2 linked regions of the Sus scrofa genome follow. The protein of the gene in region 1 interacts with the protein of each later gene in a pairwise test. Links are inferred from orthologs where the notes say so. Each region holds a gene or a part of one and is shown in the gene's direction. Other genes may lie near its edges.

Region 1 (4,595 bases):
GAAGGGCAGGAGAGTAAAGGTTGAGAAGGGGACAGGAGTCCATGAACTCTGGCTTTGATGATGGTGGAAGAGAGATGGAGTCACTGGAGGAGAAGAGAATATGGGAAAAGAGGTCAAATTTGTATGTGGGATGCTAGGTGGACATCCCAGGGAAGAGGTCCAAGTGGCAATAATAATTATTATTACAATTAGCACATGAGCCCCACTCTGACATTATCATTAATCATTTATTGAGCACTGTGGACACAACACCGACTGCCACAGACACAGCCCCTGCCTTCACTGGGCTGATGTTCTGTTGGTGAGGAACAGAAACTAAATAAACTACTGGACTGTGAAAATTTTATTTTTATCTTTTGCTTTCTAGGGCTGAACCCAGAGCACATGGAAGTTCCCAGGCTAGGGGGGAATCCCAGCTACAGCTGCCAGCCTATGCCACAGCCACAGCAAAGCCAGATCCAAGCCACATCTGCGACCTACACCACAGCTCACGACAACACCAGATCCTTAACCCACTGAGCAAGGCCAGGGACTGAACCAGCATCCTCATGGATACTGGTTGGGTTTTCCTCTGCACCACAATGGGAACTCCTAGATTGTGAAAATTTTAAAAAGGAAACCTCAGCTAAAATTGGAGTCAGGAAAGGCTTTCAGAGGGAGCTCTTACGCCCAACCACTCCTCAAAGACCCCAATCAGGAAGACATCAGTTACAGACCCCAATCACAAGAGACTTACCTTGCACTCCCAAACAGACACTGCAACTACTTCATTAAAGGAGAAAAGATTTTCTTCCCTCCCAGCAACAAGCCCAGCCAATGAAGACACCACAGCTTAGCCAATGAGATGCTGTCCTTACCTGAACGCTTACTTTCCTCCAAACGAACTTTTGTTTTTTTCTCTCGTCATGACTTCTTTGTCTCACCCTCCTTCCTATAAACGTCTTCCATTTTGAGCAACCTTTCGGACTATCTCTGCTTAACAGATGAGATGCTACTTGACTCACGAATTTTTTAATAAAGGCTATTAGATCGTCAAATGTACTCACCTGAATTTTGCTTTTTAACAGGGCGGAGAAAGAAATACTTCGTCAAGTAGGGATAAATCCTTGGGGGCGAGGGGGTTGTGGAATAAAACAACATAAGGGGACAGAGAAGGAATGACACGAAGGATTTATAAATATTTGTTAAACAAAGACTTAATGACAGACTGTGGATGGTTGTTTTAGTAGGTATTTAAGTAAATGGTCTAATCATACTCCAAATATTCCATAAGGTGAGTTTCTTCCGTTATACAAAGGGAGGAAGCTGAGGCAGGGGTATCTTAACGAGTCACCAATGCAGGGATAGAAACTGCAATCCAGAGAGAGGGGATCTCCCTCTAAGCTGAAAAGGTCCCCAAGCAGACGCCCCCCCGGAAAAGGCCATTTATGGGGCAAGCGGTGGGGGGAGCGTCCAGAAGAGCCGCGCGCATTGACCTATGACGTCATTGGGACGTTAAATAGCGTAACACTACCTGGACGTAGCCCCATTTCCCTTCCCGGACAGGTCCTCTGGTGGTCCGGAGCTGTCTGATTCAAACCTCTCATTGGCTACTCGCTCCGTCAATCCGTTTCATCTTATGGTCTTCCGACCCGCCTTCCAGATCTAGCCTTTGATAGGCTGAAGAGGCCGTCACTTCAGAAAGGTCCGCATTCCTTCCGCCTTTCTCCAGGAGACCGAGGGCGAAAAAGGTGGATCTCCGACGGTGCCCACCCCGGGGGCTCTGCTTAAGCCTCTTATTGGCTACTCTGGGTGCCGGTCGCTACGCCATCCACCGCTGATTGGGCATCCGGCCGCCGCTCTGCGCGGCGCCGGCTCCGCCCCCGTCGGGTGTTTGTGGTGGGGCTGCGGAGTCGCCGATCCCGCCGGAAGCGCCAGGACAATGGGGACCCGGGACGACGAGTACGACTACCTATTCAAAGGTGCGGCCGGTGGGGCACAGACGGGCTATGAGCGGCAGCGAAGCGGTGGGCAGGCGCCGAGGCTGCACTCCAGGCCTCTGGCCCCAGACTGGAGCCAGAGGGTTGGCGCCCGGCAGGCTAGGCAGCCAGGAAAGCCACTGCGGGTCGGGCATGATCAAGTTTAGGCCAGGGTTTGCGGCCCCGCGAGGCAGGCTGCCCAGAGAGGCTTGGGGGCCCTGGATGCACCGAGGCGGGGCCAGGGCCCAGAGGGGGTGGGGCCGGGGGCGGTGGGACAGGCCGTTAGAGGCGGGGCCTTCAGAGGGGGCGGGGTCGTCCCAGCGTTTGGCGGGCCGGGCTAGGTGGAAAGCGCCCTTAGCGGTGGGGGCGGGGCCTTTAGAGGCGGGGCTGGGATGTGGTGGGCGTGTCCAAGAAGTAGGCTGGGCTGCACGGGTGGGGGCGGTGCTCGCACGGAGTGGCAGGGGAGAGCCTTGATTGGTGGCAGTGCGTCTGGGGGCGGAGCCCTGGAAGGGAGGGGCGGACAATGGGGGTTGAGGTGTTGAATGGAGCCTGGTTTGGAGTGCGGGAGTCTGGATTGAGAGGAGTACCTGCGTTTGGGGGTTGTGGGGGTCGGAGGTGGGGGGGGATACTAAGTGTGCTGGACCCAGGCCTGGTGCTTAACAGCAACAATTATCTCTTAACTTTTAGAACTATAATAGCACCATCCAAGTACCTGCACTTTTCTAAGCACTTTATACACATGAATTCATTGAAACCCTCACCACAGCCAATGAGGTCAGTATTTTCCATCCTGTCTCTTTATGGACCTGGATACTAAGGCGCAGTTAATAAGTGTTGGAGCAGGATTTGAACCCAGGCCACATAGGGAGTGTATCTGAGGGAGCCCGTGACCAAGATCTGGGACTGGGCTTGTCAGACCACCTCCTCCAAACTGCTGGAGGATCTTCTCTGACCCTGGGGGACAGAGGGCTCTAGAAGCTTCAAGTAACCCCTGGGCAGGGCAGGGCAGGCAGCCAACAGCGGACTGGCTCAGGAGTCACTGACTTTCTAGTGCCTTCTGTGCCAACCTAGGCTTTGGCCAGGTCTTGTGCTGGGCTGTCTGGCTGACGCTGGCCACCCTTGAGAACTAATCTCTGGGCCCACACAGGACACCCTTCCCATGCTGCCTGCTGCATGAGAGTGTGCCTCCCATGCTGGCTCTTGGCATCTTGTCCTCGCTGGGGGAACTTGGCCATCCCTGGGAGTGTAGTCTCTGTCCATCCCTGACTGTGATATCATCCAGCATGTTGGGGCTGGGGGACCCTAGACATGTGGAAGGTGGGATGGAGCAGTCCCTACCTGGATATTCACGTGTAAGAGTTTTCTGGGCGGAGAAAGCCCCCATGCAAAGGCCCAGAGCTTGACAGCACCATTAGGCTGGGGGAGCTGCCTGTAGACTGCTGCTGAGGCCTCAGGCCCGGGCCCTGGTGCTGACTGAGCTTTGAGGTCTCACTCTAAAGGCAGAGGAGGGAGTTCCCATTTGGCTCAGTAGGTTAAAAACCTGACTAATATCCATGAGGATGCGGATTCAATCCCTGGCCCCACTCAGTGAGTTAAAGATCTGGTGTTATCTGAGCTGTGGCATAGGTCACAGACTTGGCTTGGATCCTGCATTGCTGTGGCATAGGCCGGCAGCTGCAGCTCCATTTCCACCCCTGGCCTGGGTACTTCCATATGGCACAGATATGGCCCTAAAAAAAAGAAGAAAAAAAGACACTTAGAGGCAGAGGAAGCTCTTTCAGGGCTTTGGGAACTAATGACAGGTGGACTGGATACCAGTCCTGCTGTAGCTGGTGCCTGTTTCCACCCAGCCCACCCTGAGGCAGCTGCTCCTAGGTCCTGGCTGGCACCCACCTGGATGTGTTAACTACCAGGGCAGGGGGCGTTCCTCCCATTGTTTCTGCAGTCATTCCCCATTTATTATTTTCAACATTTTTGCGTCACAAATAACACAGCTCCAAGTATTTGCACGAGTCATCTTTTTTTCCTTTGGGTTATTTCCTTGAAGTATGTTCCCAGAAGTACAATCACTGGGTCAGGGGCAATGGAGCAGGCTGTGCGCTTCCCAGGATTCATCTCCGGAGTCCTCTTCCTGGAAACACTTCTGGGACAACTGGCATGGGGGCGGTGCCCGCTTGCCCTGTTGCCCTCTCCCACTGGGCTCCTTTTCTTGAGCAGGTGCCCTGCTGACGTTCTCAAGCCAGGTTGAAAGTGAAAGCCTTAACCCACAAGACTGGTCCCAAACTGGTCATCTCAGACCTCATCTTCACTGTTAGGCCTTGTTGGAAAAACCCCCACCTCCTTATCTTTATTCATTTTTTCTTTTTTGGCCACCCCGAGATGTGGAGTTCCTGAGCCAGGGATCAGATCCGAGCCTGCAGTTGCAACTGAAGCCACAGCTGTGGCAATGCTGGATCCCTAACCCACTGTGCTGGACTGGGGATCGAACTTGTATTCCAGGGCTCCCATGACGAGAGCAATCCCCCTGTCCCCCTACCCCCCGCTCCTCCGCCGTTTAGTGTTTGTCAGGAAGTCCACTCAATTTTTCACTTACTTAAATAGGAAAAGAAAACTCTATCTGGCTCTGGCAAATAAGGA
Region 2 (3,813 bases), on another chromosome or scaffold:
GATCTCCTTTTGCAAAATTAAAAGATAAGATGAAAGGTAGAAAAAATGATGGGACATTTTCTGATACATCTTCTGCAATCATTCCAAGTTCTCACATGCCTGATGCCAATACTGAATTTTCAAGTAGTGAAATACAGATGAAATCTAAACCAAAAAAGCCTTTCCTTTTGGGTCCTCAGCGACTCTCTTCGGCGCATTCAATGTCTGATTTAACTGGGGCCCACATTTCTTCGGAGAAGCTGAAGTCGGGCGCCATCGCTCAAACTCATCTTCTCGGACGCCAGATAGAGCCCTTTGGAGCAGTTCCGGAAAGTGGTAAGTGACACATTCCAGTCGCTCCTCCGTGGTCTGAGCTACCCTTTTACTTTTCAAAGTATCGACTTCTAAAGTTAGAGAAGAAAGGTGGGAGTTTCTTGCTAGTATTTTCTAAATTTAGTCGTCAAATATTGAGTGCCTACTCTACTCAAAATTGTTAAGTTTATTGAAGGCGGAGTGGGTCTGCCTTCAGCGTTGTATTATATTATTAGGTAATAAAAATGAGTCCTGGTCTCTCTTCGTGGCCTGGCTTCTTCTTTTTTTAACTGCCATTTCTTCCATCTTAAAAGCCAGAAGCATAAATGAATATCCCATTTCATTAGAAAGTTCCTAGGAAAAACCTTTAATGTTCAGAAATAAGAACGTAAATTTAATGCTAATGATGAAAGAAGTCTGAGAATTTATAGCACTGCGGGGCCAAGCAGAACCTTTAGTTTTGACATTATACTTTGTTTATGTGATTGTTTCTTGCTGAGCTGAGTAAATTACTAATTGTTAGCCAGATACTAATTGTTATTAGCCTACATACCACTGTTCCTTAGCATTTTAAGATTGTTTTCCTTGATTATTTTAAAGGTTAATATCTTTAAATAGCTAATTGCTCTCATTCTAAAAGCGGCAGTATGCACACAGGATGTGTCAAATAGTGGGATGTAATGTGTCACTGATTATGTACTAACTACAAAATTGTTTGCAGGAAGTCTCAAATCTCCACACAGAAGAACATTAAGCTTTGATACTTCTAAAATGAACCAACCTGACAGCAATGTGGAAGAAGGTGAATCGTCTTTCGGAAGACAAAGTGACCCATTTACAAATGTGACTGCTTCATTACCCCAAAAATTTGCAACACTGCCAAGGAAGAAAAATCCATTTGAAGAAAGCAGTGAATCCTGGGACAGCAGCGTGAATTTATTTTCAAAATCGGTTGAAGTAAGAAAAGAAAATAAGAGAGAGAAAAGAGAGAAAGTTAGCCTGTTTGAAAGAGTGACTGGAAAAAAAGATAGCAGAAGGTCTGATAAACTTAACAATGGGGGATCCGATAGCCCTTGTGACTTGAAATCACCTAATGCATTTAGTGAAAATCGTCAGGACTATTTTGATTATGAGTCAACTAATCCGTTTACAACAAAATTCAGGGCTTCAAATATAATGCCATCTTCAAGGTAAGCTTAACAGGGGGAAAGTTTTGCTATTTTGGAACATATTGTACTTGAAAGTATCGGATGTTCCTTTTAAATTCCTTTCATTTTACTTGAAAAAAATTCTTATCTTATTTTTATAATTAATTTTGGAGCCAGGCAATGTTGCATACATCTTTGGAATTGAACTTTTTTTATCTTAGAAGGATAAAAGATTCTTAATCCGTACTGAAGTTTATTCTTACTTAGCCAGAAACTCACCGAAACTTATGGAGAGAATAGTATAGCTTTTGATGAGACGTGGTGAGAGTGAACCACCAGTAGGTGTTAATTCAAACGAAATCGAGGTACGTCGTGTTTCTACACCTTATTTTCCAGAAATTAGTTATGGACCAATAGCAGCCTGCGGACTATTCTTGAAGACATGCTGGCTGAAGTAGTAATAGTTTTCATAATAGGTGTTAACTATATTAAATGGCTCTTTGGAGTAGTTTTTATTTGTGAATGTTTACTGAATGCTTATGTGAATCTTGTGGGTACTCTTGGAGTATCTGTAATGATGACTTAGTCACAGAAATAATCTATCATGATAAAGTTTGGGCTCGGTCATGTATGTGATACTTTTCTAATTCCTTAGGACAAATTGAAACTATGGTTTAAATAAGATGATGGAATTGCAGGAGTGAATGGTAGAATAACTGATTAAGGAAACTTCAAGCAAAGAATAAAATGAATTTATTGGAGTCTTAAGCGATTGTCAAGGAAGGGTGTGCTGGACTGTTTGCCAGGTAACATAGACGTTCTTTCCTGGGGCAGGAACGCATGGCGTTCAGACTCCCGTGGGAAAGCTGGCTCAGTAGGTCTGTGACGTCTGTCAACCTCAGCATTTCCATCTTTGACATAAGGAAAGTGATTCTTACTTGTTAGGATTGGGGGGTGATAAATGATACAGTACATAGTACAAAGACAGGCCCCAAATAGGGACCCCATAAAGGGTAGTTGCTGTTACACTGTATGTAGCCATGTCATATTTTATTCAGAAACAGTGCTTTGTTTTTGTCCCACTATAAACAGAAAAGAGTACCAACAATTGCCCTTTTAGGCTTGTGATCCCCCAGCTGTCTTCTGATTTTCTAATGATACATTAAAACATGCATTTAGAGTTTTCTAGGGAAGGTTTGTACTTCTTTTGTTTTCTTTTATCAATAAATGGGTATTTGCTGTGGCTTTCGAATGTATCATTCCCTTTTCTTTATAGGCTATATGCCAAAGAAATGCTTTTTTATCATAGGGTATTAATATTTTATTGACGAATCCATGGTTTTGATGTGCTATTCTCAAATATTTCATTTTGATATTTTATATGGTGTGCTTCACATTATTGTGGGTCTTAAACGACAGAAGTTAATAGAAATGTGTTTCCTTTCTCCCCTCCTTAACTGAACTGTTTTTGAAAAAGATTGTCGCAAGCAACTATCTGAGATAACTTAGAGATTGGCTAATGTACGTAATTTTAGAGTCCAAGAAAAACAAGAAAAATGGGATATGGTAGGAAAATAATGTTTTTAAATTATGGCAGCATGGAGTTCCCACTGTGGCATGTAGGTAAGGATCTGGCATTGCCATAGCTGTGGCGTAGGTTGCAGCTGCAGCTGGGATTCAGTCCTTGGCTGGGAAATTTATATATGGTGCCAGTGTGGCCAAAAAAAAAAAAGAAAAATATTAGGGCAATATATGGAAAAATAGGTACCCTCAACTTTTTAATTGACTTGGGCTGTTTACATGGACTTAAGAATTAGTGTTTTAAAAGTGAGTGTGGCATTTTGCCAAATATAGACTTTGTTTTGGGTTACTTCAGTGTTAATGCTGTGTCCATCAGTGTTAGAGCTGTTTCATTTTATACATATAATGATTGCAAGTATGTAAAAAGTTTTTTTAACTTTAAGATTTTTCTCTTCTTCATATTCCTGAGATGCTGTAGCTATGACGACAAACACATTTGTCGAGTCCTAAGAAGTTACCCTTCCTTTTTGTGTCACAAGCCATCTTTGTGGTAAATGTAAAACATTTACAATAAAGGGGTAGCTCTCAGTAGTAGCATATAAAAAAAGAAAAATTGAATATAAATAGATCCAGGAAGAGAGTTCAGATCAAATTTTGGGGAAATGATGTCTCGAATGGAATTAGAAAGGATGTAGTCGAGGTAGTTTGGTTTTTACGTATCAGTGTATTTGTATTTATCCTCCCGCTATCATTTCTCAGTTATATGGAGTATTTTAGTTTTCTCACATTAACATCTAAGCCAAATGCACTTTTGAAGCTATGAACTCACATTTCTAGGACACATGCTGTGAAT

Evidence for each region.
Region 2: the proteins of RAB11B (region 1) and RAB11FIP2 interact in binary tests that used the Homo sapiens proteins (3 or more experiments, as listed by UniProt). The link is inferred for Sus scrofa from reciprocal best matches to the Homo sapiens genes RAB11B and RAB11FIP2.

The regions. Positions count from the first base shown.
Region 1 is NC_010444.4:70,893,102-70,897,696, reverse strand, and holds the start of RAB11B (ras-related protein Rab-11B), read left to right. Parts: upstream 1-1,527; 5' UTR 1,528-1,921; coding exon 1,922-1,961; intron 1,962-4,595. UniProt on the Homo sapiens protein: The small GTPases Rab are key regulators of intracellular membrane trafficking, from the formation of transport vesicles to their fusion with membranes.
Region 2 is NC_010456.5:128,100,915-128,104,727, reverse strand, and holds part of RAB11FIP2 (rab11 family-interacting protein 2), read left to right. Parts: coding exon 1-315; intron 316-1,012; coding exon 1,013-1,481; intron 1,482-3,813. UniProt on the Homo sapiens protein: A Rab11 effector binding preferentially phosphatidylinositol 3,4,5-trisphosphate (PtdInsP3) and phosphatidic acid (PA) and acting in the regulation of the transport of vesicles from the endosomal recycling compartment (ERC) to the plasma membrane.